Caenorhabditis elegans: one gene and its partners. The protein of the gene in region 2 interacts with the protein of the main gene of each other region in a pairwise test. Each region holds a gene or a part of one and is shown on either strand. Other genes may lie near its edges. The genes, in order: txbp-3, F35A5.8 and frm-1.

The links.
Region 1: the proteins of F35A5.8 (region 2) and txbp-3 interact in a two-hybrid assay, tested with the Caenorhabditis elegans proteins (one large-scale study listed by BioGRID).
Region 3: the proteins of F35A5.8 (region 2) and frm-1 interact in a two-hybrid assay, tested with the Caenorhabditis elegans proteins (one large-scale study listed by BioGRID).

The regions. Positions count from the first base shown.
Region 1 is NC_003281.10:5,044,428-5,051,239, forward strand, and holds txbp-3 (Tax1-binding protein 3 homolog), read right to left. Parts: upstream 2,735-6,812; 5' UTR 2,716-2,734; coding exon 2,461-2,715; intron 1,981-2,460; coding exon 1,861-1,980; 3' UTR 1,749-1,860; downstream 1-1,748. Other genes in the region: nlp-43 (Neuropeptide-Like Protein), read left to right, coding at 1-27; C45G9.14 (uncharacterized protein), read left to right, coding at 670-815, 894-1,013, 1,061-1,226; vtip-1 (Vha Twelve Interacting Protein), read left to right, coding at 3,697-3,819, 3,867-3,986, 4,035-4,134, 4,183-4,267, 4,859-4,996, 5,081-5,465; C45G9.15 (DUF851 domain-containing protein), read right to left, coding at 5,744-5,818, 5,866-6,171, 6,225-6,640. UniProt on the Caenorhabditis elegans protein: May regulate a number of protein-protein interactions by competing for PDZ domain binding sites.
Region 2 is NC_003284.9:3,798,230-3,807,362, reverse strand, and holds F35A5.8 (SH3 domain-containing GRB2-like protein B1), read left to right. Parts: upstream 1-3,898; 5' UTR 3,899-4,026; intron 4,027-4,471; exon of another isoform or gene 4,472-4,583; intron 4,584-4,591; exon of another isoform or gene 4,592-4,593; 5' UTR 4,594-4,610; coding exon 4,611-4,673; intron 4,674-4,732; coding exon 4,733-4,874; intron 4,875-4,941; coding exon 4,942-5,076; intron 5,077-5,129; coding exon 5,130-5,263; intron 5,264-5,405; coding exon 5,406-5,498; intron 5,499-5,576; coding exon 5,577-5,615; intron 5,616-5,755; coding exon 5,756-5,845; intron 5,846-5,897; coding exon 5,898-5,998; intron 5,999-6,128; coding exon of another isoform or gene 6,129-6,177; exon of another isoform or gene 6,178-6,631; intron 6,632-6,671; coding exon 6,672-6,768; intron 6,769-6,867; coding exon 6,868-6,969; intron 6,970-7,038; coding exon 7,039-7,143; 3' UTR 7,144-7,318; downstream 7,319-9,133. Other genes in the region: F35A5.2 (uncharacterized protein), read right to left, coding at 1,744-1,875, 1,922-1,986, 2,033-2,117, 2,165-2,218; abu-10 (Activated in Blocked Unfolded protein response), read right to left, coding at 7,721-7,996, 8,052-8,165, 8,210-8,299, 8,342-8,428, 8,474-8,650, 8,700-9,041, 9,099-9,133.
Region 3 is NC_003279.8:14,893,169-14,901,279, reverse strand, and holds the start of frm-1 (Moesin/ezrin/radixin homolog 1), read left to right. Parts: upstream 1-3,917; coding exon 3,918-4,043; intron 4,044-4,097; coding exon 4,098-4,248; intron 4,249-4,495; exon of another isoform or gene 4,496-4,717; intron 4,718-4,889; coding exon 4,890-5,287; intron 5,288-5,843; coding exon 5,844-6,094; intron 6,095-6,420; coding exon 6,421-6,587; intron 6,588-6,636; coding exon 6,637-6,704; intron 6,705-7,345; exon of another isoform or gene 7,346-7,450; intron 7,451-7,537; coding exon 7,538-8,111.

The DNA of each region.
Region 1 (6,812 bases), on a different chromosome or scaffold from region 2:
CAGTTTTACGCATGGGCCGGGAAATAACTCAAATATTATTTTTCTAAAAATACAATGACAGTAGCATTATCTGTTCTTTTCTCTGTGTGTGTATGTTTCAACTTCTGTCTCTGAATCTCACAATCTCTACCTATTTTTGTTTTTTTCCTGATCAACAACTCTGACATCTTCTTCTCGATTTCCTTTCATTTTTAATTTTTTGAATCATGAATTTTGAACGACTCAATAAAAATGGACTCAGTTTGAGTGTTTTGGATGATTGTTTGAAGCAATGCTTCCGACATACTGTATAGTATCTATTGATCAACTTTGCAAGCATATCTCGGTCAAATTTTGATTTTAGTGAAAAACTTGAGTTAAGAACATGAAATGTTCATTGTCTTCAAACACACTCGAGAATTCTAAATTGCGCAGTACATTATTCCACTTTGATTAACTTTACAACCTCCACTTTCAGTTATTATAAAATTTTTCTTCTAAATTAATATTCCTGTTGGAAAGTACATGAAACGATTGTAAAAACTCTTACAAGGAAAGATTTTCATTTCACCCTGCAATTCGTAGTTGTACTAGAAAATTTCAGGAACTGGCCAGCAAACATGGGATTTTCCAATTGAGCGCACCCAGAAATCTCCTCCATGAGCACATTCACATCCAGTATACATCAAAATGGCTTCATCCCAAAATGCAATTGATTTTTACCTATCCGAAGTAGATGCTCGAATTGCGGAGAAACAAGCTCAACTAGAGGAGGCGCTGGAAAAATCTGAAAACGTGCGAAGCCATGCGGAGACAATTCAAAATTTTATTGGAAAGTTAGTTTTTTTTTTCGAAAAACAAGAATAATTGAGTTGGTATTTTCGGTGGAAAAGTAATAATTGAGTATTTTTTAGATATTCCAATTTCGAGTCAAGAGTCAAAGACTTTCAAAATGAAATTGTAGAAATGGACCGATTGATTGCAGAAAAACAGGAAGAAATTGACGAAAATCGCAATTTTTCGAGGAGAGAAGAGTTAGTTTTTCAAAGTTTTAGGAACAGAAAAAACCGAGATTTTGCAGAGTTCAAATGACGAAATTAATGGAAAAATTAGAAAAAGTGACGGAAGAAAGAAAACAAAAAGAGAGAACTTTGCTGAAATTATATGAAGAAGAAGGGAAAACTATGGATTCATCCGATGATGAAGATAATATTAATTTTGAATTTCAGAGTTCTGATAAAAATTGAATGTTTCTAGTTTTTAAAAGTTTTAAAAAATACTATTTTATTATTTTCGAGATGATTCGAGAAGACTTTAGTATGTACTACAAGTTTCATTTGCATATAATACTACATTTTGTTAGTACATCACTTTTTCTGTGTTTACACAATTGAATTTGTTCCAAGAATCCATCAAGTGAAATCACGTGTGTTCCTTTTAAACTACAGTAATCCTTGTAGTAAATTTGAAATTCATTATTTAGATTTAAAAACATTTTCAGAGTGTATACACAATTCAAATAAAGTGAAAGCAACAAAGATTTTAATATCCCAACTAGTTTAAAAGTGGAAAAAATGTTTTAATTTAACAAATTTATTGCGACAGATTTCAGATTTATAATTTCTTTTGTTTTACTTTATTTTTTACATTGAAATAATTCATTTTTGTATGATAAAAATTTACAGGCAATTATGAAATTTTCAGTTCATTTTTCCAAACACGAATGACCAATTTTTCTTGTCAAATGATGCATTGTGTCGTCAAAAAAGTAAAATTTTTTATTTTTGAACCCGATAAATATCAAAATATATGCGCAGAATTGAGTTTGAGAGATAATTGAAAAGGGCAAGTTTGAATGTGAACGGAACAAATGAGATTGAGTTAATGAAGACTGACAGGAGGAAGATCGGCTCTTGCAACAAGCATATGAAGTACTTTTGATTGTTTGATAAACTTCACAGCTCGATCATGAGTCATCATTGTGAAATCTGCTCCATTGACCTGAAAATAGAGAATATTATTTAGTTGGGGTGTCCGTTTGTTAGAGGATGTTCTCAATATCATCTAGAAAAATTTTGAGGAGTTTTCAATTTTTTGGAAACTTATGTTAAGCTAATGTTCGAACGTTCTTGAGTTTGTCTACCAAAAATTTTTTAATTGGCCAAATGTTTAATTCACTTCAGTTTAATTCACGCAAATTTATGTTGAATGAGAAAATATTGCCTAAGAAGAGTACTGTAATTTCAAATTCTCATTTCTGCTGAATTTTCATCGATTTTGCATGGTTTTTTGATGAAAGTATATTTATTTATTTGAAATATAACAACACAAAAATTTCCAAAAACTCATGAGAAAAACTATGCAAGATCGATGAAAATTCGGCAGTAAGTTTACAGTACTCTTAATTAACAATGTATATGTTGGCAAGAAAGTTTGATCATTTGTCTCTGGGAAAAGAAAACTTAAAAATTTCATAATTACCTGCAGAATCTTATCATGCTTTCTCAATCCAGCCACATCCGCCGGCGATCCTGATTCGACGTTTGTGATATAAACTCCAGAATCCGGATATTTGAATGGCGCTTTTGTTGGATCTTGATCAATTCCTCCACCAATTTTAAATCCAACTCGAATTGTGACTTGTCCATGAGCATCAATAACTTCTTGTTTGTGCAATTCAACAGCAATTGACAAACATTCAATTGCTTCTCCTGGCATATGACCATATGCTGTCATTGTATTATTTTTTTTTGATCTGAAAATTGGAAAGTATTTAAAAGTGAAATTGAAAAGAAAATGAGGTTTTTTGTTCAAAAACTAATGTTTAAATGTGTCGGAACACGGACAAAGATGAAACGCACACATACAACATGAGGTGTGACTCATTGTCTTCAACCCCCTCTGGTCTCCATTTTTCTTACACTATCTCATCTTCCTACTCTCATGGCCGAATTTGCATACATTTTTACTCAATTCCGTTCGGATTGTCATTGAGATGGCGACCTTGTACAAGTGTTGCCGATAAGAGAATAATTGAATTGGTGGCCGTGGAAGAGAAATTGAAAAAATAAGACCAAACATCGCTTTTTGCGGCCATGGAAAGTTGGTTTTACTTGTATTGAATAATCTTTTTCCCTCAATTTTTTATTTAACGTTTCCAAATCTTGCAGTCTTGCATGTTTCTATTTGCAGGCATATTTTTAAAGATATTATAATAATTAATAATGAATTATTTCAATGTAAAACAATATAGTCAAGAAAAAAGAATATCTAAAAATCTAAAATCAGTAGCGGAAAAGAAGTTTTTTAATGCTAGGTACTGTAGATTTTCCAATTTCCACAATATATGTTTGAGAAATCGATTTATTTTCAAAAACCATTTTTGTTCAAATTAAAACATTTTTCCCACTTTTAAACCATGTTTAACTCCAAAATCTTCTTTATTTTCACTTTATTTTAAATGTGAATTCACTTTGAAAATGTTGTTCAATCTAATAATATTCAAATTCACTTCGCCGATTACTGTGGTTTTAAAGGAGTGCATTCAAATTATTGATTGAGGTCTCGCAGCGAGCTGGGTATGGTGAAATTTTTTATTGATTTTTAGACACTTCTCTTGCGCAAAACTCTTAAATTTTTAGTTAATCGTTGACTCTCATTTCTTTTGCTAAATATAATGATAAATTATCTAATAAATTTTCAATTTTCAGCATAAAAATGACCCAAGAACCGTCAGACACCAGTGATTATCAACGATTTGATGAAATGCTTCTTCATTTGGAGCCAAGAGGGGCAAGAGTTCCTTATAACGTTGTTTACGACCAAGACAACAATATATGGGTATATTATAATTAAACAACAACAATTAAAAATTATTCATTTTTCAGGTAGCTTCAAAAGGCGGTTTATATAAATTCAACGGAAAAACTCTCCGAACTCTGCACGAAGACAAGAAATTCTTCAAGAAAATGGCCCCATTTCCACAAGTAATTTCGTACAAAGACAGGGTACAATAAATTATTTTCACTTAAGTTATTAATTATTCAAATTTACAGATAATCTACACATCAGCTGAATTCTCTGATCGAACGACAATTTTAAGAGTAATTTCACTTGATGGAGATGTTGTTCATGAGTCGTTTATCGAAGGATTATGTAAGTTTTTCTGGTATAAAACATTTTTTAAAATATATTTTTTTTTAGTAAATTCCATGACAATCACTGATAGTGGCGATATGTATATTGTGAAGCAAGCTGAACCAGGACATCGAAACAATTTTATCATGACGTAAGAATTAAAATAAATCATTTAAAGAAGGAGTATCGTCAATGGGAAAATTGTTTTAAAATGTAGTATTCGTGCTCAAACTTAAGAATATTACAAAACAAAAACGGGAAAAATCCGTTTAGATTCAGCATTTTAAGTCGAAAAAATCTTCAAAAATTAACTAGAGAAATCCTAGGCCACGACGATCTTTCGAATTTTTATTTGTTCTGGTATTGTCCTTTGAAAAAATACTCAATACAATTTCTTCTTCCCAGTTTTCTTGAACTTTTTGAGAAAGAAAAGCGAATTAAAGTTCGAAAAAATTACATTTAAATCAATATTTTGTTTACGAATATGACCTAAAAGTTGCGTGGTTGCTTTTCATTTGCGCGCGAAATTCAAATTCAGCCACTTTCAGCCACTTTCGTCGATTTCAACGGCTAAATGCTGAATGTTAACGGATTTTTCCGTTTTTCTTCTGCAATAATTGGAAGTTTGAGTACAAATACTACATTTTAAAACAATTTCCCCTTTGACGATACTCCTTCTTTAAATTAAAAATGTTTCCTTCAAGCAACTTTTTATATTTTATTTTTACATCTATAATTTCAGAACACACTTGGACACTCCAATCGGTTGGGATGTTGTTGCTGAATCAAAGCCTGGAGAAGCTTTTTCACGAATTTGTGCACTTGATGACAAGACTTTGGTGGCTTCAATCAACGATTTTCCAATGAATATGTTCTCAAAGTGAGTTTTTGTAATTTTTAACAAGTGTTAATAGTTTTTTCGGAATCTGTATTCGAAATAAAAACATTTTGTTTTTTTTTTCAGACAACGACTTGTATTCTACGATTTGGAAACAAATACTGAAACAGGAAGCACATCGAAAGCAGGAAAAGAGCCCGGAGAGATATTTTTCCCGAGATTCATCAAAAAATATGGAGATGGATTCATCCTAAACGACAAATCTGGACGATTCTCAGAGTTCAAGAAAAATGGGGAATTCGTGGCAATTCGTGCTCGAATCGATGCATTTTTGGGCGAAGGATTTGATGTAAAAGACGGAGAAGCTCTGATGGCATTGACTGGAATGGTTAAAGATCCAAATGAACAATTAATTTGTGATGATTGGTTAGAAACTATAAAATTGGACGGATCCTCGTGGAAAGCAGATAGAGAAAAGAAGAAACAAGAAGACGAGCAAGCGAAAAATTGATTTTTTTTGTCTAAAATTCCCATTAAGATATTGTTCTCAGTCTTTCTTCACTTAAAAAAATCATGCGAATTATCGGATTTTAAAAAATCTAAAAAAAATAGTTTCAATTTCAGTCAATAGAATTTTAGTCGTATAACTTTGGGTTGTTCACTTCACTTCATTCCAAAATAGCTTTCAATTGTTTTGTGTTTCAACAACAAAAAATCTGTGATTTGACCATTTATTCTTTTATCTTGCCTCCGAATAAATATTCACTTAAGAAAAGTAAGACTTCAGTTTCACTTCTTCGACGACGATCCTTTACTTCTACGATTCCTACGAGCCATTCTAGCCGTCTCGATTGGATTTGCTCTCTGAATGATTGAAAATAATTAGATATCAAATCAGTAAATCTTATTACTGAATAAATAAACTCTTCCTGCTTCTCAATGACAAATGACAAACTCTTATCGGACTTTCCCTCATCATCTGATTTACTTTCATTTCGTTTTCCTTCCATTTCCTGAGCATGAACAAGCGATCGAATTGTATTTGAAAATACAAGTTCCGGCGTGAAATGAATATCATCACGATCTTCTAATATAGACAATGGTTGAAGTGCATTGAGTATTAACTTTGATTTTTTGATAGTTTGAAGTGGTACTTGTTTCAAATGATACATTTCAAGATGTTCAGTTCCAACTGATATTGATGGATCAACGTCAACCTGTAATTACTCGTTGGTCTTTCATTCTCGTAAATCTACACCCGCTTCCTTACCAAATCCTCCTCCGTTGGTAACAAAGTGACTGCCCAAAACGGTACTCCAGGACGGCTGAACACGTTCTGCGGTGGCAACCTCTGAACATCTTTCAACTTTGGTACTTGTCCATAAGTGTCTTCTTCTAGATTAGATTCAGATTTTTCAGCCTTCTTCTTTTCCCTTGACTTATAGAATGAGGATCTTTCATCGAATAACAGCAATCCTTTTTCATTGTTATACTTCAGTGGATATGGTTTCTTAGTGACTCTATCCAACAAAATCTTCGTTTTTTCGTCGATCGGCTCTGCCATCGTGATTGGATTGATTTTCTCCTTTGCGAATTTTTTGCATATCCGTTCCATATCAGCTTCGTCAATGTCTCGACTTGTCACTTCGATATTCTGATCTTCTTCGATTCGGGGTCGCAGTTGAACTGAAAATTTTGTATTAGTGGATCTCTGAGTTTTGACTTTTCTCGAACTTCTTCGCGATGAATGTTTCGTTCGCGTTGTTCTGGTAAAGTAAGATGGATGTGGTACTTTCTGTCGCCCGCTATCGTGCCAAAGGCATGTATGTATAAACAGGCATGGGTAGGCATATTGGAA
Region 2 (9,133 bases):
TATGAGAATTTAAGATTCTAAGAGAAGCAGCAAGAGAAACAACTGCGGTCTGAGTTAGTAAAAACAATTGATTGGAAAGAAATCAACAGAGTATAATGTGAAAAATCACATTTTCAAGTTTTAAATACTAATTGGCATTACATTGTTAACAATCAAGACTGAAAATTTGATGAATATTTCTCTGAAAAATTTGGTGAACTCGTTGTTGTTTTTTGCGTCAATGAAATAAAGATTTGAAAACTTTTTTTTTCAAAATTTTAACCGGAAACAAAACAAGTTTTTGTCGAAGATCGGTTGAGTCTTAATAAACTATTTGAAAATAAATTATGCAAAATTTATTAATTCTGCAATTTCTTGAAAATGCACACAAAGTAAAATGTGTTACTAATAAGAAAGATTTAAAAAATTATTCGAAAAAAAATCATTCTAAACACTCCAAAAAAAAATAACAATTGTTCCTTTGAAACAGTTGATTTTATTAACAAAAAAAAGTTCGAACAAAACAAGCGCTTCTGGGTCTATAACAGCCTTCGCATGAGATCATAAGGGCGCCCACACGAATGCATTGAGCATCAGGCTTCTAGTTTACACCGTGCCGTCTTCACTCTTGAGAGAAAGAAATGAGGGAAAACATCGAACAACAGAAACGTTTTCTCTCCGCCATTGATTTATCTGACAACATAACGTGGAATAACAAAGAAATTCAGGTTACTTTCGAAAAATTATTCAAGTTTTGTTGTCATTAATTTCAATTATAACGATATATTTTTATGAAAGTATTTACAATAAATACACGATAAAAATTGGTTTCAAAGACAACAAGCCACACAGGAAGCACGACGAAGATGATAGAAAATAACATGAAGTACTCGGTTCCAAGTTCATTTTCCAGATGCTCTAGCTGCTGTCTCGAGTATACAATCTCCAACGTGATAACTCTGAAACAGTAGAGTATTTATTTAAGTTTAAAATTGTGAAATATTAACTACAAAAATTGTATTGTTTTTTTGAGCAAACAAATTACCAAGGAGCATAAAATCGGATAATAAGAAGTTTTGTGAAGCATTACCTGACTGTTGCGAAGTACCTGAAAACAAAAATGCCAGATCAAAAAAATATACAGTAAACTAAAAAAAAGGGTCAGAAAGAAAGGGAGGCTATTGATTAATGAGAAAATGTGAGTTGATGTGGCAGAATTGAATAAATATTCCCACACATAAATGGGATACGAACCAAAGATTGAAGGTCAACAATCAACAAATAAAAAAATTATAATACGTCACAGCTCAAAGTAAATACGAATATGAACTAACCTGAAACGGGTTCCTTTTTTTTCCTTCAGATTTATTTGTCTCCTGATAAAGGGTTATCAATTAAAAGCTACTAAAGCCACTATACTCAGCACTATATACTCAGCTACTAAAGCCACTATACTATACTGTTTTTGAAAGATATTCAATTATTTTTAATCATTATAAGTGTATGTGAACAAAATTTCAATCTCAAGAGCAACCAGAGAGGTTTTCTAAAGGTCACTCAAGCGGCAGACTTTAAATAATGCTCGAACCTCAAGAATCCCAACCTTAAAATAATACTTTTCTTGAAATTATAATAACAGTTGATTATTTATTCCACAAAACTCATATTAATACACTGGATACACACACAGGTATCAACAAAAAACATACGAAAATACGCGGGATTATATAAAAAGCGAGATATTTGTTCGTCCAGATTCCAAGTTCAGTTGCCGGATGCTTCAATGGTTGTAGCGTATTTGCTGGCTTCATCGAGACGCTTCTGGAAGTCGGCATCGGAGAACGAACGGAACACCGACATAGATTCGCAATCCGAACTGGCGAAGGTCTTGACGTCCTGAAAAAAAATCGCTTAAAAAATGATCTTTGAAAATTTTACTTACTCCAATCTGGGATCCAGCTGAATCAAAGCAATCAAATTGATAACCGGAGCAGGAGGAAGTCACATCTGAACAAAATTGATTTAGATACCTTAAACTAATATAAAAATTTACCATTATCATTGTACTCTCTGTTGTAGGCGAAGCAGAATGGTGGATTGTTGTACTTGCGGTTTTTCTTGATAACCAGAGTCAGACCCTAAAACATAGACAAGTTCCTGTAAAAGTTGCACATTTCAATAATACCTGTATCATGGAAACGGCAAGAATAAGGAAGAGAGCAAGCGAGACGGCGTTCATCGTTTTGACACAACTGGCTGAATGATGCTATCCCGACGCGTTTTCGACGACTTTCCCACACAAGCTGTTCAAACCATTTTCGTTTTTATATTTCGTGGCACATGCAAGTTAACACGTATTTGAACATCTGAAGCAACCGAGTTCGTTGGCTGCAAAAATTGACTCATTAGATCAAACATCGGCGCTTGTAAAAAATCGTGTTTACCAATTTGGGACGGAAATGGAGAATTGCTGATGGAAAAGTTTCCCAATTAGTGTTTCTAATGTTTTTTTTAGATTTCTAAGTACTGTAATCGACCGAGAAGCTAAAAACACAGCGGGTGTTATCGCTTTTCTTTATTGGTAATGAATGCAAGTTATGTAAATTCGTGTGAGAAATAAATTAAAATGCTATTTTTGGATTAGAAATTTCGACTGGAAAGTTAATAACAAAAGCAAAATTAAACAGGAATATACGGTATTATAAAATGTCCATTTTAACCTGAAATGTAAAAATTTAAGGGACACTATAAAAAAAACCGTGTTTTTTTGTGGTGTTCATAATAGGGGTTGACTGATTGGATATCTGACTAACATTTTTAAAAAATTTTACGATGAAACTATGAGGTTTAGAAAAAAAGCTTTCTAAGCGACTTCAACCTCCCGCAACGTCTTGGAATCTTACGATATTTGTTGCTACTATACTTCAAGAACAAAGATAATAATCAAAACAAAACAAAATTAGCTTACAATTAAACTCTTTTTTTTCCATTGAACATGATGTCTATTATTTGCTCTCCCAACAACACTACCAATTGCAAAATTGAATGTTTTGCAGTGTCAAATTTTAATTTTGAACAGTGGTGTGTTTTGAAATGAATAGTTTGTTGTTCCTTGTTTTATTCACGCAACACTTTCTCTTTTTGCTCGTCGTATTTTTTAATCAAAGCGACGTTATTTTTAGTCTCAAGTTTGTGTCTGTGCTCATCTTATTATTTCTTACCAATTTGAATGAATAATGCATAAAACGTTTTTTGTTGTCGTTGAGGATTTAATTTTCTTTAATAAATTTCAAAAAAGTAATGCAATCATGTTTAACAAAATTTTAAATACACATCTTTCTAAAAAGGTTATCATAATTACAGCTCACCAAGTGTATTAATGTATGTAGTATAATTTATTACGTTTCACACTTGCAAAAAACTTTTTAACACATCACCATTAGACTTTTCTCTGAAAAATATATAACAAATTCTATATCAGTAATCCATTTAGACGTCTAGTCTTATTTCCATTTCCGAATAAAATCACCATTAATCTTTCGGGTAATGTTATTTTAAAAAAACTTATATTTTTGGGCTATTTGTTTTACTAAAAAAATACTGTTATGTTTTTGCCCTACCGAAAAAAACCTTTTTTAAGACCATTTTTACACTAATTTTTCAGCAGTATTTCAAAAAGAAGAAGACAATCAAATCGGATATTCTTATTCTCCAAAACTAGACAAATGTTCGTTGTTTTTTCTCTATTTTGAAAACGAAAAGTGTGTTACTTTTCTTGTGTCTCATCCGTATGTCTTTCTTTTTGTGTACTCATTGCAATTCAGAGACAAGACCCACACATTGGGTGTGTCAATGCAGTGGCTGCTGACGCGTTTCTCGTGCGTGCGCTTCTTTTGTCTTCACTTTATTCAATTACTCACCACGAGCTCATTGTTATTGTTTATTGTGTTTAGAAAATACGATTTCCCATAAGAGTCGTTATATTTTCATTCATTATTCTTCTTCTTATTATTATTATTATTAGAAAATATATTTTAAGCTTTTTTTGTAAGTTTTTCAGAAAAATACTATTGGGTTGCTTAAAAATAACAGTTAAAATGTTTACATCCACTGCATGACTCCAAAAATCAATGTGATACTTTATCAAGCTCCTATTCAAAGCACTCAAACTCAATAATAAAAAATATGTGCACTTTTTTTAAAAATATGATTGCTCGTAACAAACTTCTCTTCAAAAGTGTAACATGCCATCATTTTACCAGAAAAAAAAAACGAAATCCAAAAAAATTGGAGGACGGATGTTGAGAAAGATGAACGACCTCTTGCGTTTTGTTGCACGCATCTTTCCCCCCATTTTCGCTTCTTTTTCAAAAATTCTCTCCTTTCCCACTTGTTCCGTCATTTTTCGTTTCCTTTCCCTTCACGACTCGCGCAGTCTCGCATCGATTTTCCGCTAGGGGCCCTCCCCTCCTCACCGCCATCTTCTTTACCAGCAGCCCCGTTTTCCAGTAATTTCGTCCGTCGTAGTCGGGGCACCCCTCACAGATCCGTTCGAACAGCTTCCATTCTTTTGTTTTTTCTCGCACTTTTGTGAATAATTTTGATAAACTTCAGATTGTTGAAAACTCAGTATGGATTTTAACTTCAAAAAGATAGCCAGTGATGCTGGAGGATTCTTTAGCAGAGCTAAGCAGGTTGGTCATTTTTTTACGAATTCCTTCGAAATCCCATACATTTAAAATTCAATTTCCAGCTCACCGAAGAAACATTCCTGAAAGCAGAGCGCACCGAACTGGACTCCCACTTTGAGAACCTTCTACAGCGAGCCGACAAGACAGAAGATCATACTCGCCGTCTCCTCTCTGCAATTGAGGGTTATTTGCAGCCAAATCCCAGTTAGTATTCACGAAAAAGATATTATGTTTTGCAAAAAGACCTGAGAAATGAACTTATCTATTGCAGCCGTTCGCATGGAAGAAGTATTCTATGAAAAATTGGAATTGAAAAAGGATGGTGCTATTCGGCAAAATAATCTCGAGCAGTTGTCAACAGCGATGACCGAAGCTGGAGAGCAGTTCGGAGAGACCACTCCATATGGTTAGTTATTTAATTTGTTTCCTCATAAGACATATAATACTCAATAATTTCAGGATCTGCACTCCTCAAAGTGGCTCAAACGGAAAACCGACTTGGGCAAGCGGAACGGGAATTGTGTGGACAAGCGGCCACAAATACTTTGCTCCCTATTAGAAGATTCTTGGAAGGCGACATGAAAACAATTCAGGTGAGAGACTCCTCTTTTCCAAGCTGCACTATTCATGAGCTCTTGCTAAAAAAATTTAGTAAATGCATTTCAAATTATTCTTGCCCTCAGGCCAGCTGCGCCATAAATATATTTCCGCTTTCAATAAAAATATCTAATTCAGAAAGAAAGAAAAGTGCTGAACAGCAAGCGTCTCGATTTGGATGCATGTAAAAGCCGACTCAAGAAAGCAAAAACTGTAGATCTTCAGACAGTGGTGAGTGATTTTTTTCTTAATTTGTGAAAAATTAATTTTCTAAAAATAAAAATCTAAAAAAGAAAGTAACTGTTTCAGACGAATAGTAAAACCTCTGGAGGGTTTACAATTGAGCAGGTTTGTTTCAGAAATGTTGTAACACTGTTGGTTTTCATTATTGTCTGGTTATTCCTCCCGTTTCTATGTACTTTATAAACTTTTAGTTACATATCTAAACATTATATTTTGAAACTTTTGAAACGTTTCACAAGTTTCAGGCAGAGGCGGACGTGCGTGTTGCTCAAGCAGAGTTTGACAAGCAATCAGAGATTACCAAATTGTTGCTAGAAGGAATTCAAACCGCACACGTTAGTTTTTTAAATGGGATTTTTCCAATTTAAAATGTATAAAAATTTTCAGAACAATCAGTTGAAGTGTCTTCGTGATTTTGTCGAGGCACAAATGTCTTTCTATGCTCAGTCTCATCAACTCATGGCCGATTTGCAGCGGGAATTGAGCGGGTAAGTCTCTCTTTCAAAATTAGGCTCATTAGTTTTCATGTCGCATGCGTCTCCCGCTAGCAATTCATTTGGTAGCCACTGCTTTTTTTATTTCGTTGTAGTGAATGTACGTGTCATGCAAATATTTCAGTTCTCTCGCCGATTCACCGATGTACTACGGAAACCGACACGACGAGTGACTCCCGAACTTTGATTTTATGTTTGCCACTCGTGATTGTGATCTTGACTCCCTATTTATTTCAAATTTAATCGATTTTGATTATATATTATTTTTTCTCTCTCCTCTTTCTCTTTCTTTTTACTTAACATTACTTCCTTCTGAGTAATCCAGTGTCATTCAAATTCGCCAAGAAATTCAATATTAGCTCAAGTTTTCGATATTCTTAAATTTTCAATGTATTCTGTATGTATTATATTGTAATGTATTTCATATTTTAACAGCTCCCGGTCATTTCCACCAATCGATAAGCATAATTAGTATGTTTAATTTTTTTCTTCTTACTCTCAATTCTCCCCCCAACCGCCGTTGATCGGCTTCTTCTAGTCACAGTTGCTGTGTGAATGTCTTAGTATGTGTGACACAACGACGAAACGCGATTTGAACTCAAATAAATGTTTCTCTATTCTGCCAAACTTTTTTCATTGTCCCCAGATTTAAGGAAATTGCTTTCAGCACCATGTCATTTCGCGGAAGCTCGGCAATACTGGTGAACAATAGTGGCGACCCGCCAAACGGAAGGACTATGGCGGCGGCAATAGCGGCGGCCAAGGTTAGTTGGGGAAGAACTTCGTGGAAAGCGTTGTTTCCGTTCCAGTGATTTTCAATTATTTCCCATCACGAACATCTCTTCAAATTACTGATTTTCCAGCCAAGTGGCCTACTGCCGGATGACTTGGGAACCAAGCAAGCCAAAGTGATCATGGACTACGATGCAGTGCTGCCACAAGAGATCAGCGTCACCCAGAATGATGTGAGTCTTGAGAGGAGGACCCCTATTGAAACCAAATATTGTGTGAAATTACGTCTGCTCTTGTTGCAGATTCTCATCGTGTATCGCCTTCCTGGAATGGATGCGGAATATGTGATGGCTGAAAAAGGAGGAAAACGCGGAAAATTGCCTGTCAGCTATATTGAGCTGCTCTAGAAACGCTGCATTCATTAATTTATTGTCTTAGTACTTTGTTCATGTGCCAAAAATGTTTTAGTAAGGTGTCTTATTTATTGTGGAAGATCTCAATTGAAATGTGTCTATTTATTTGACTCCTCAAATGCGCTTATTATTGTATAGGTTATTTAGATTTAAAATAAATGGGAAATTTAAAGATCAAAAATTCGTTAACAATATTGAACACAATATAAAAAGTTTAGTTTTGAAGAAAACTCTCAAATCTCTTCTACGATTGCTGTTTTAGATAATGATAGAACCAACCCTTTGTGAAAATCTTCTGGTTTTCAAACTTCAAATAGAGTTTCCTAAAAGAAAATTGCATTTTTCTCAAATCTTTTTCAGTGATTTTGTTGTAATTTAGACGAAAATTGGTAATTTGAACATCATAGAAATGATTCTTAATCATTTTTTCATTTATATCTTCATTGCATATACTCATTGTGTAAAAGGAAATAATATAAAACTACTTTATGTAATGGCAATAATATTACCGAAATGTACAAATAGTTTGCGTGAAGTCGAAAAAGAAAGACATGGTCAGAAATGAGTTCGTTTAGGCGATCGATCGCTTTGCCTTGCGGTTGGTGTATCTGTATCTAAGACAGCAGGTCTGCTCGGCGCACTTGACGTATCCGCGTTGGCATACGCATTGGTTAGCATCGCAGGAAGTAGTAGCTGACGAATGTTGGGATTGTTGGTTGGTGTACGAAGCGGTGCACGATGACTGGCAAGCTGGCTGGCAAGCTGGGACGCACTGATTGATTGGTTGCGCTTGTTGAACTTGGACTTGGAAGGTTGGCTGAGCTTGTTGGGCGCAATCACAGGATGGCTGGAAGTTTAGATATCCATAGTTAATTTACTGGTCAAAAAGCAATAGTCTTTACCTGAGCCTGTTGGCAAGCGCATGGGTTTTGCTGAACAACTGGGGCACAATCACAAGCTGGCTGAGCTTGTTGGCAGCACGGGTTCTGTTGAACTGGGGCACAGTCGCAAGTTGACTGTAATTCACAAACTTAATGGAAAACTCTGGAGTGTGATTTACCTGAGCCTGTTGTTGGCAGCATGGGTTCTGCTGGACTGGAGCACAATCACAGGCTGGTTGCTGTTGGACTGGGGCACAGTCGCAGGCTGGCTGAAATTACCGGACTAAAAAAAATTGTTCAAAATGCCATACCTGAGCTTGTTGGCAGCATGGGTTCTGTTGAACTGGAGCGCAATCGCAAGATGGTTGCTGTTGGACTGGAGCGCAATCACAGGCTGGCTGAAACTTCAAAAGTTCATCCAACATTTACCAAATATATTGTACCTGAGCTTGTTGGCAACATGGGTTCTGCTGAACTGGAGCACAATCGCAAGCTGGCTGTTGAGCTTGTTGCTGACGGATCTCGATTTGGATGCAGGTCACACATGATGGGTTTTGTTGGCAGTCACAAGCTGGTTGTTGAGCAACTGGAGCACAATCACAGGCTGGTTGTTGTTGTGGCTGCAAAGATGGGTTACTTTTATTCGTCGCTCTTACATTAACAGCCTACCTGGCAGTCACAGGCTGGTTGCTGTTGAACTGGAGCGCAATCGCAGGATGGTTGCTGTTGCTGGCAGGCGCATGGATCTTGTTGAACTGGAGCACAGTTACAAGCCGGCTGCTGCTGTTGTGGCTGGCAAGCACATGGATCTTGCTGAACTGGAGCACAGTTGCACGCAGGCTGCTGCTGCTGTGGCTGGCAAGCACATGGGTCTTGAGCTGGAGCTTGTTGGACCTGAGTGTACTGAACCTGGACATTGATGGTGGATTGTTGGCAGCACGATGGTTGCTGCTGAACTGGGGCGCATGAGCAAGCCTGACGCTTTTCTCTAAGAGTTGGTGCCGAAAGTGCCTGAAAATGGCGGGGAATTTATAAATAAAATGGAATGAAAAAAAAAAGAAATCTCACCAGGGCGACAATAGCAAAAATTGAAAATGCAGAGC
Region 3 (8,111 bases), on a different chromosome or scaffold from region 2:
GGGGATAAGGGTGAGTCTTAAAAAAATGAATTTTAAACCCATTGAAAAGAGTATACGTGATTTTTGATCGTATTATACAGAAAGTATTGGCAAAATGCCAAAATTTTGACAAATCTGATCTTTTTAGAAAATTAAAGCAATCTCGCATGTTCGCACCCCTACAATGTTTTAATACAAATAATTTAATAAAAATTACAGTATAAAAAATGTAAAAAAAAACAATTGGTTTTAAGCACCTCCAAAATTTTGAGTGGCAAAACTGAGCAATTCACACTTTTTGACACAAAATAAAAAATTTTCAAAAAATTTTGAAAAGTTTTGTTGTGATATTTGGTCATTTTGACTACATAGGAATACTTTTAAGCATTTTCCCCACTGGAACTACTCCACCTTAAGATTTTTTTTGTTAAGATTTTTGATGAATATCTAATACGTTTTTTAAATGTTTCCTTTTAAGATATTTGGATAACATAACATTTTATGCAGTGACATCTCGTCGACCTTAAGAATGCAACAATTTTCGCCCACTTTTTTGCCCCTCATCAGCATCTTCAATTCATTCCGCATCAGTACTCTCTATTGCAGCTTCCGGCCTCTACTGCCGTTGACGGTGTTGTTTTTGTTTGCACCCTCTCGCTTCTCGCTTCCATCGTACATACACATAAATACATACACTTTCCCTTTCATTTTCCCACCCATTTTTCCCCATTTTCCATGATACGCTGCGAATCATTTTTTCGATTCGTTTTTTGTCGAAATATTTGGTTAGCATTTAGTACTGATTTCCAGAAATTGTTCCATTTTTCATTATTTTGCTGAAATTCCTGAATGATTCATCCGTGTTTTTTCTTGATGTTTCAAATAGAAAACAATCATCAAACCCCCCATTAAAATCCATCCATTTGCACCGCCTATCTCCTCCTCCTATCACACACAGTTTTCATTTTATTCTATCATTCCGCAACCATTCGTGTTGGTTTCCATTCTGATTCCTTCTTTAACTAAACAGGATATTCTCTGAAATTCGAGAATTGTCCCCTGATTCATTTTGGCAAGAATCTCCACAATGGAGAGTACGGAAACCTTAGGAAGCGGTGAGTAGTTTATGTAAATATGCATCTTAGAAATTGATGGGTGGTCTAGAACTAGTTTGTGACTGGTTCTTGGGAAAAACGGGAACGGAGTAGACTAACTTTTCACGCCTTTTTAGTGAAACTTGAGAAGACATCTAGGCAAACAGTGGTAAGTCCCGGCCTGGCGCGGTTCTGATAGTGAGTCCACATTTCTGATAACATTTACTTATCGCAGTAAAACTTATATCCGACACTAATTAGAGTACACGTGGAACGTTGTAAGTGGTGTTTCAATGACATGAAGCTGTCTGAGTTAATATCAATATACACTTGAAATACTTTAGTTGTGCTTGACTTTGGTCTCTCCCTAGTCGAGAATTTTCGCAACTAGTCAAAAATGAAATCGTCTATCGCAACATGTATAGTTGATAAATATTAACACAAATAACCAAAGATTAAGTTTCGAATGTTGTGACTCATGCTTTCTCCTTTATTTTCCTCTCCACTACTGAATTTCTACACATTTTTCGAACAAAAAAGAACGTTCACTAATCCTTTTGGCCTTCTCTTCCTGCATCTCTCTTTCTCCCTTACTCCACTATTCTCTCGTTTCGTCGCTAGCAAAAATTACCCTCAAACTCCGCCCAAATATTGGAAACTACCAGTCATTCTGTCCGCTTTTTTCCATCATTGTCACTGTTTTCCGTGTGTGTCGTTGAGCGCTGGTGCCCTTGGTCGATAGATTGGATGAATGAAGGAGTGAGGGCGCCAACAAATGTCTGCGCATCTGGAAGGTCTTGCACTATTTCTCAATTTTTATGCTCTTTGTGAGGGACGGACATACGGTGACCAAGGGCATAGTGTCAGAACCAAGAGGAACCATCTGTTTGGAGATGTTTTGAAATTTTGTTTTGGCAATGCTGGGCATTTTTCACTTCTGGTAACGGTTTTGCATTGGGTAGTTTGAAGTTCGGAGCAGTGGTTGGTGGCAATTACAACTGGGCCGTTCAAATTTTCGATAATTCGATAATTTCCTCAATTTTTGAGATTTGGCAGTTGTTATCTATTGCCAAATATTTTTAATTTCCAAAGGTCAAACAAGGAGGGGCGATGTTGACTGTCTCTAAAGCTAGTCATAACTAGGTCTGTGAAACAGCGGAAGGAAACTTTCCAAAAAATTAATTGCCTCCAATAATTCTCTCATCGGCAACATTGTCAATCTACAAGCTGGTTCAACAATAAAAACTGTTTGTTCTCTCTCTTCTTTGCTATTGCGAAAAATTGTCTCATTGCAACACCTCTCTCGCCTTCATCTTTTCTGCCTCCGAATTCCCACTACTGTGATTGACTGAGATGAAAAGAATAGAATGAAACAGTGTAATAAACTAAACGTTTTTGTTTTTTTTTTCTGCTGTTTTGTGGCCAACACAACGCCTGTTGGTTTCGTCTTCTTCATCCTGATGGCGGTGGCGAGAATAAGAGAGGAGAGCAACAAATAGCACAGAAATAGCAACAGTTGTGTGTGCACCTCTGCTATCAATTGAAGCTCTCCGTAAGCATTATTTTTTGCTGTTTTGATATATTGGAATTCTTTTGAAACTATGTGAACAATTTTTTATTGTGATATTTGCCAATAATGTGTATTTTGGGTCTTGTAGCGACCAACATGACTGACAATGAGAAAATTACTCTATCGAAAACTTCTAATTAAAAATACTAATCGTGATTTCACTTTATCAAGTTCACAAGCTTTTTAGAAACGTGTAATAAACGCCTCAAGAATGTATTCGGTTGGGTCTCGCCACGATAAAAAATTGTGGTAGCAATTTTCTATTTATTCGGGATTTCGTGAGCAATTTTTGTAATCATCACTTTAATTTTTTCTCGATGTTTTCCTATTTTTTCCTGAACTAAAAAATACGAATTACTTATTGAAAAGCTAACGAAAATCAAGGAAAATCGTTAAAAACTAATAAATTCCTGAAAAAAATAAAAATTTCCACCATAAACGTTTTCGTCGCGGCGAGACCCACTCGAACATAACTATGCGCCTTTAAGTTTACTGTAGACAAATTTTGTCCGTTTTTTCGATGTTTTCCTCTATTTTTTTCTATTTTCCTACCATTTATTGTATTTTAATTAAAAAGTAATTAAAAAGCTAAAAAATTAACTTATTCCCTGCAAACTTTCGACACGAAATCTTCATTTCTCAAAAATTAGTGTTATTCGCGCTGCGAATCCACATTTTCCACTTTTTCACGTTCTCTGGCATTTATAAATTTGTTTTTGTTTTTCAGAAGATAAAAACGTAAAAATTCACGTTATAAATTCCCATTAAAATCGTCAAAGCCAAAATTTTGAATTCGTATTTATTTCTAGTAAAAAAAAAGTATTCTTCAACTTTGAATGTAAATTTAGTTAACTCTTCCACTGTTTTTCTCCAATACTCTTTCTTTTTTCATTTCCACCTTCAAATGATCCTAATATTTCATGTTTTCTCACCACAATCTGCGGGTACCGGAGAAAAGGTGTAATTTTTCTTTATTGTCCTTCTCTACTATGCCTCCCAGAATTTATTGCGTTTTTTATGCCGGGCATTGGCTACTTTTTCTCCCAACAACACCAATTCATCCCTTCTGTCTTTTTTTTTCGCAGAAAAACAGAACAAAATGTGGCATTTCGAATAGAGCGCGTTTGCATTACTCCCCCCCCTCCTCCCTGTCGGCCGGGCAATTCAAATTTTAACACTTTCTTTTGCTCTATAAACTTTTAAAACTTCTATTTTCAATGAAAGTTGCAGTTTTTTTTCTAATTTTTATTAATTTCCTCCACATTTCAGAGCAAATGGGTACCGATAGAGATCCCGGAGACCAGAAACACCCAACGACTAGCCAGCAGCCACGAGATTCGAAAATGCAGTTGGCAAAAGTTCTTCTTCCCGACGGAGTTCAAAAGGAGTTTGAGGTTAATGTAAGTTTTTGAAGAATTTCACCGGAAAAACTGCTAAATTCTAAATTTTTACAGAAAAACTCGGAAGGAGAAGCACTTTTCCGACAAGTGACACGAGATCTATCGATTGAGGAACGCGAATACTTCTCGCTGTGCTTCTACGACAAAGATGAGGGAACACGACATTGGCTATATAATGATAAGAATATTGCGAAACAGATTAAAGGTAAAAATGAGAAAAAAAAGAAAATTTTGGTTAAAAATGTGGATTTTCTTCACAAAAAGCTAATTTCCCCCGCTTTTTCAAAAAAAAAAAACTGCCTTGAAATTTTTGGAAAGCTGTTTCAAGTAAATAAAAATATTTCTCTTATTCGGAAAAGAAATTGAATCGATTTCATGTCCAAAGTTGTATTAATTTTCCTTTTTTTTTGTAAATTCCCTGATGAATTACAAGAATCTAGGAATATTATCCTTAAAAATATAATAAAAAACTCTAACCCGCGGCCACGTGTCGATTTACGCAGCTCGTGTATTCCTCGAAGAAAAATAGTTTTTCTACATTTTTCGCAAAGTTTTCTCAAATCTTCTGTGTATTTCAAAGAAAATCGAAAAATCTGATAATTTTAATTTTGAAATCGAGTCTTTTTTAAAAGTTTACTGATTTTTTATAGAGCGAAAGCGGAAAATATTGAAAGTTGGAATTTTTGTTTCAAAAAAAAAAATTAGTCTGAAAAACATCGAAATCTCGAACAATTTTCAACCAAAAACTGCGTAAATCAACACATGGCCGTGTAAGAGGTTTCCCGCGGCCACCTATTTCATTTTCTTTTTTAAATCAATTTTTCAACCAACTGTCAAATTTTGCAGGTCTTCCTTGGGAATTCTCGTTCGAGGTCAAATTCTACCCGACCACACCTACAACGATCGTCGACGATCACGCTCGCTACTACGTCTTCCTTCAACTCAGACGTGATCTCCTCACCGGACGTCTTCCAGCTACTGCCGACACACATTCTCTTCTCGGATCGTTTGTCGCTCAAATCGAGTTCGGTGATGCTCCAGCAGAGATGACGGATGCCTACGAGCAGTTCATTGTGGCGTCCAAGCTGGTGCCATCAGCACAAGCGAATCCGGAAACATACAAGAAGATTGTCGATTTGCACAGAGAGATGCGCGGACAGACGCCTTCTGAAGCTGAAAATCAATTTTTGGATCACTGCAAGCACCTGGCTCTCTACGGAATCCACCTTTTCAAGGCAATCTCCGTATGTTTTTCGACAAAAAAAGGTTCCTGCTCGAGTACTCCACTAGGAAAATATTTTTTCTTAAATTAACATCTAAACTTCTATCATTTTCTTCTTTTAGTGCTCATTCTTCAAGTCCTTAATTTTGAAGAAATATTTTTAGTGGTTTATGAAAAAAATAGTAGTATTTACTTTTGTCTAAAATAATTAATTTGTTAAGTATTCTCTTTCAATTTATCAGCTTGGTGATTTTTAAGCTAATTTTGAAATTTCCGCCAATTTCTTGAGGGTGATCAAATTTTATTCACTGAAAAGTGTTTGGCAAATTGAAAAACGGTGTTTTAACTTAAAAATAAAAAGAAAATCAGGAAAACTGGTAAATTTAGCCAGTCAACGCATTGGATGTTTGAATCGAATTATTATTAAATTTGAATGAAAATTTGTCATATTCGGTCATTAGGGTTTTCTGTCACTTAAAGCACAAAATGTTTTGACTCTGTTCCACCTGTAAAGGAGTAAAAACTATTCGAAAATGCCCAAATTAGCTTTGTTTTTATAATTATAAAATATCTTTCAGGATAAGGACAAGAAGCCTGTGGACGTTGGAATCGGTGCCGCCGGAATAAACATTTACCAAGACGAGCAAAAGACGCATTCCTTCAGCTGGCAGAATATTATCAAAATCGGATATCGTCGTACTTACTTCTCGATAAAGCTCAAGGCAGGGACTGTCGAGAAGAATGAGAAGACATTGTACTTCAAGTTGCCAAACCATGTCGCCGCAAAGAGGACTTGGAAGTGTGCAGTCGAACATCACACTTTCTTTAGGTAATTTTTGAGAATAACTTATCTCAAAAACTGAATTTCTAAAAGAGAAGTTTAAAAAATACGTGAAGATTGCCTAAAATTATCTAAAAATTTCGGATTTTTCATCTTGCAGGAGTCGAAAAATAATTTTTGTTCTAATTTTCGAATTCCTGCTCGATGGATCAATTTTTTTTCAACTGTTTAACTGAAATTGATTTTTGTTTTGTTGAATTGTCGAACATGCTTTTCCAAAATTACGATTAAATAATTATCTCTGTCGTTTAAATTTAATTTCGACGGGTCTGAAAAAATTATTTCTTAAAATTAAATAAAATCTTTAATTTCAGACTGATCCAACCTGAAGACAAGACACATAAATCATTCTTCAACTTTGGCTCCCAGCGGTTCCGCTATCAAGGACGCACTCAATTCCAGACAAAGATTGCCTCGCAGATGTTTGATAAACCATCGACAGTGGACAGAGCGCCATCTGCAATGTCTCAACCAATAGCAAGTGAGTTTTTGATTACAATAGTTGAAATACATTATTAATGAATTTACAGCAGCCGAGAATCAGAAACTTCAAACACTCAATCTCACGGATTCGGAATTGGAGCAGCGCCAATTTGAGGTTAGTTTAATTGGTTTCCAGTGTGCTTTTCTATGTTTTTGTTCTAATATTATTTTGCATGAAACGCTTTTTAGAGCGCTTTTTTGTGTTTTCTATCGCTCACATCACAATAACTGCTTTTCAAATTTTGGAGAAAAACCACCGAAAACCCCTCAAGCACAAACACAAAATTCACATGTTTCTTCTTTCTACTCAAAAATTTTCAAACTTTTCCGCTAAAACGTCAACTTTTTTCTTCATAGTTCTTCCCCTTATTCTTCTAAAGAACTGTACAATTTTCAATATATAGCAATGTCCCCTCTTCTATTTCTGCGTGAACTTTTCTCTCATTTTGTTGTAATTCTGAAAATTCGAGAGTTTTCAGTTTTAAATATATGCATACCTATACAGTTTCCAGCTAAATGACACTACCACAGTTCATTATGATTGTAACGGCGTGGAGAGGGGGTTAAGATAGCTCCCCTCGTTCAATTATGTGCCCGATGGTGTTTTCTCTCCAAAATTCAATTGTTTCTTTCTCTATCTCTAACCCCTCTCTCTCTCCGCACTCCCGTTAGAGAGTTTCCTGCTAATCGCCATCGTCATCGTCATAAGGTCTTCTGGAGACCTCGTTGTAGTAACATAGTATCGGAGAAGTCAACATCATCGTCATCGTGTGTGTATATTTGCTCTCTTCTGTTTTGAGGCTATTCGGACATCCAGGTTCTTCCTGTCTTGATCGTCTAGCTTTTTTGTAGTTTGTAGTTTAGTTGTGCACCACAAAACCTCGGTTTAGTTTGCGTCTGGTAGTGGCTATTTGTGTGTATCGATCTCTGACCTTCCTATATTTTCAGAGATACCGACGCGCTTTGACACCGAAGTCCTACACATCATCGAGACAAGACGATGACGCGGTATCAACTGCCACATTTGCCAAGTATTCTAGGCCTTCGACTCTTCTTGTTGTTTCCACTTCTGGTCATCACCAGCAAAGTCCTCACGAGTTGTCGTATTCACCACGCGGCGATGATTCCTCTAACTACTCGTCGGCAGCCTACTATATGTCTGAAAGATCGTCGTTGAGAACTCCGTCATCCGCCTATTATCCTCCATCCGAATATACGAGTCCAACTAGTCCTGTTTATTTTGAAGGACAACATCATGGCGAGTATCATGTTCAGATGAGGCAAACAGCTTCAACTTCAGCTACTGGACCATCGAACTCGGGTGCCCGCAGAAATCTGTTTGGTCGGGCGTCGGACGCAAGAAGTTCTCAAGCGTCTAGGGATAGTGTTCGTCTAGTTTCTTTCCATGAACCTGTAGACCCAAATGAGCCGATTCCAAATACTTATCCGTACAGTGAGCTCCCGCAGATTCCGATTGAAAGAATTGTGCATGTTTATCACGAAGGCCACTATGATCGACTGA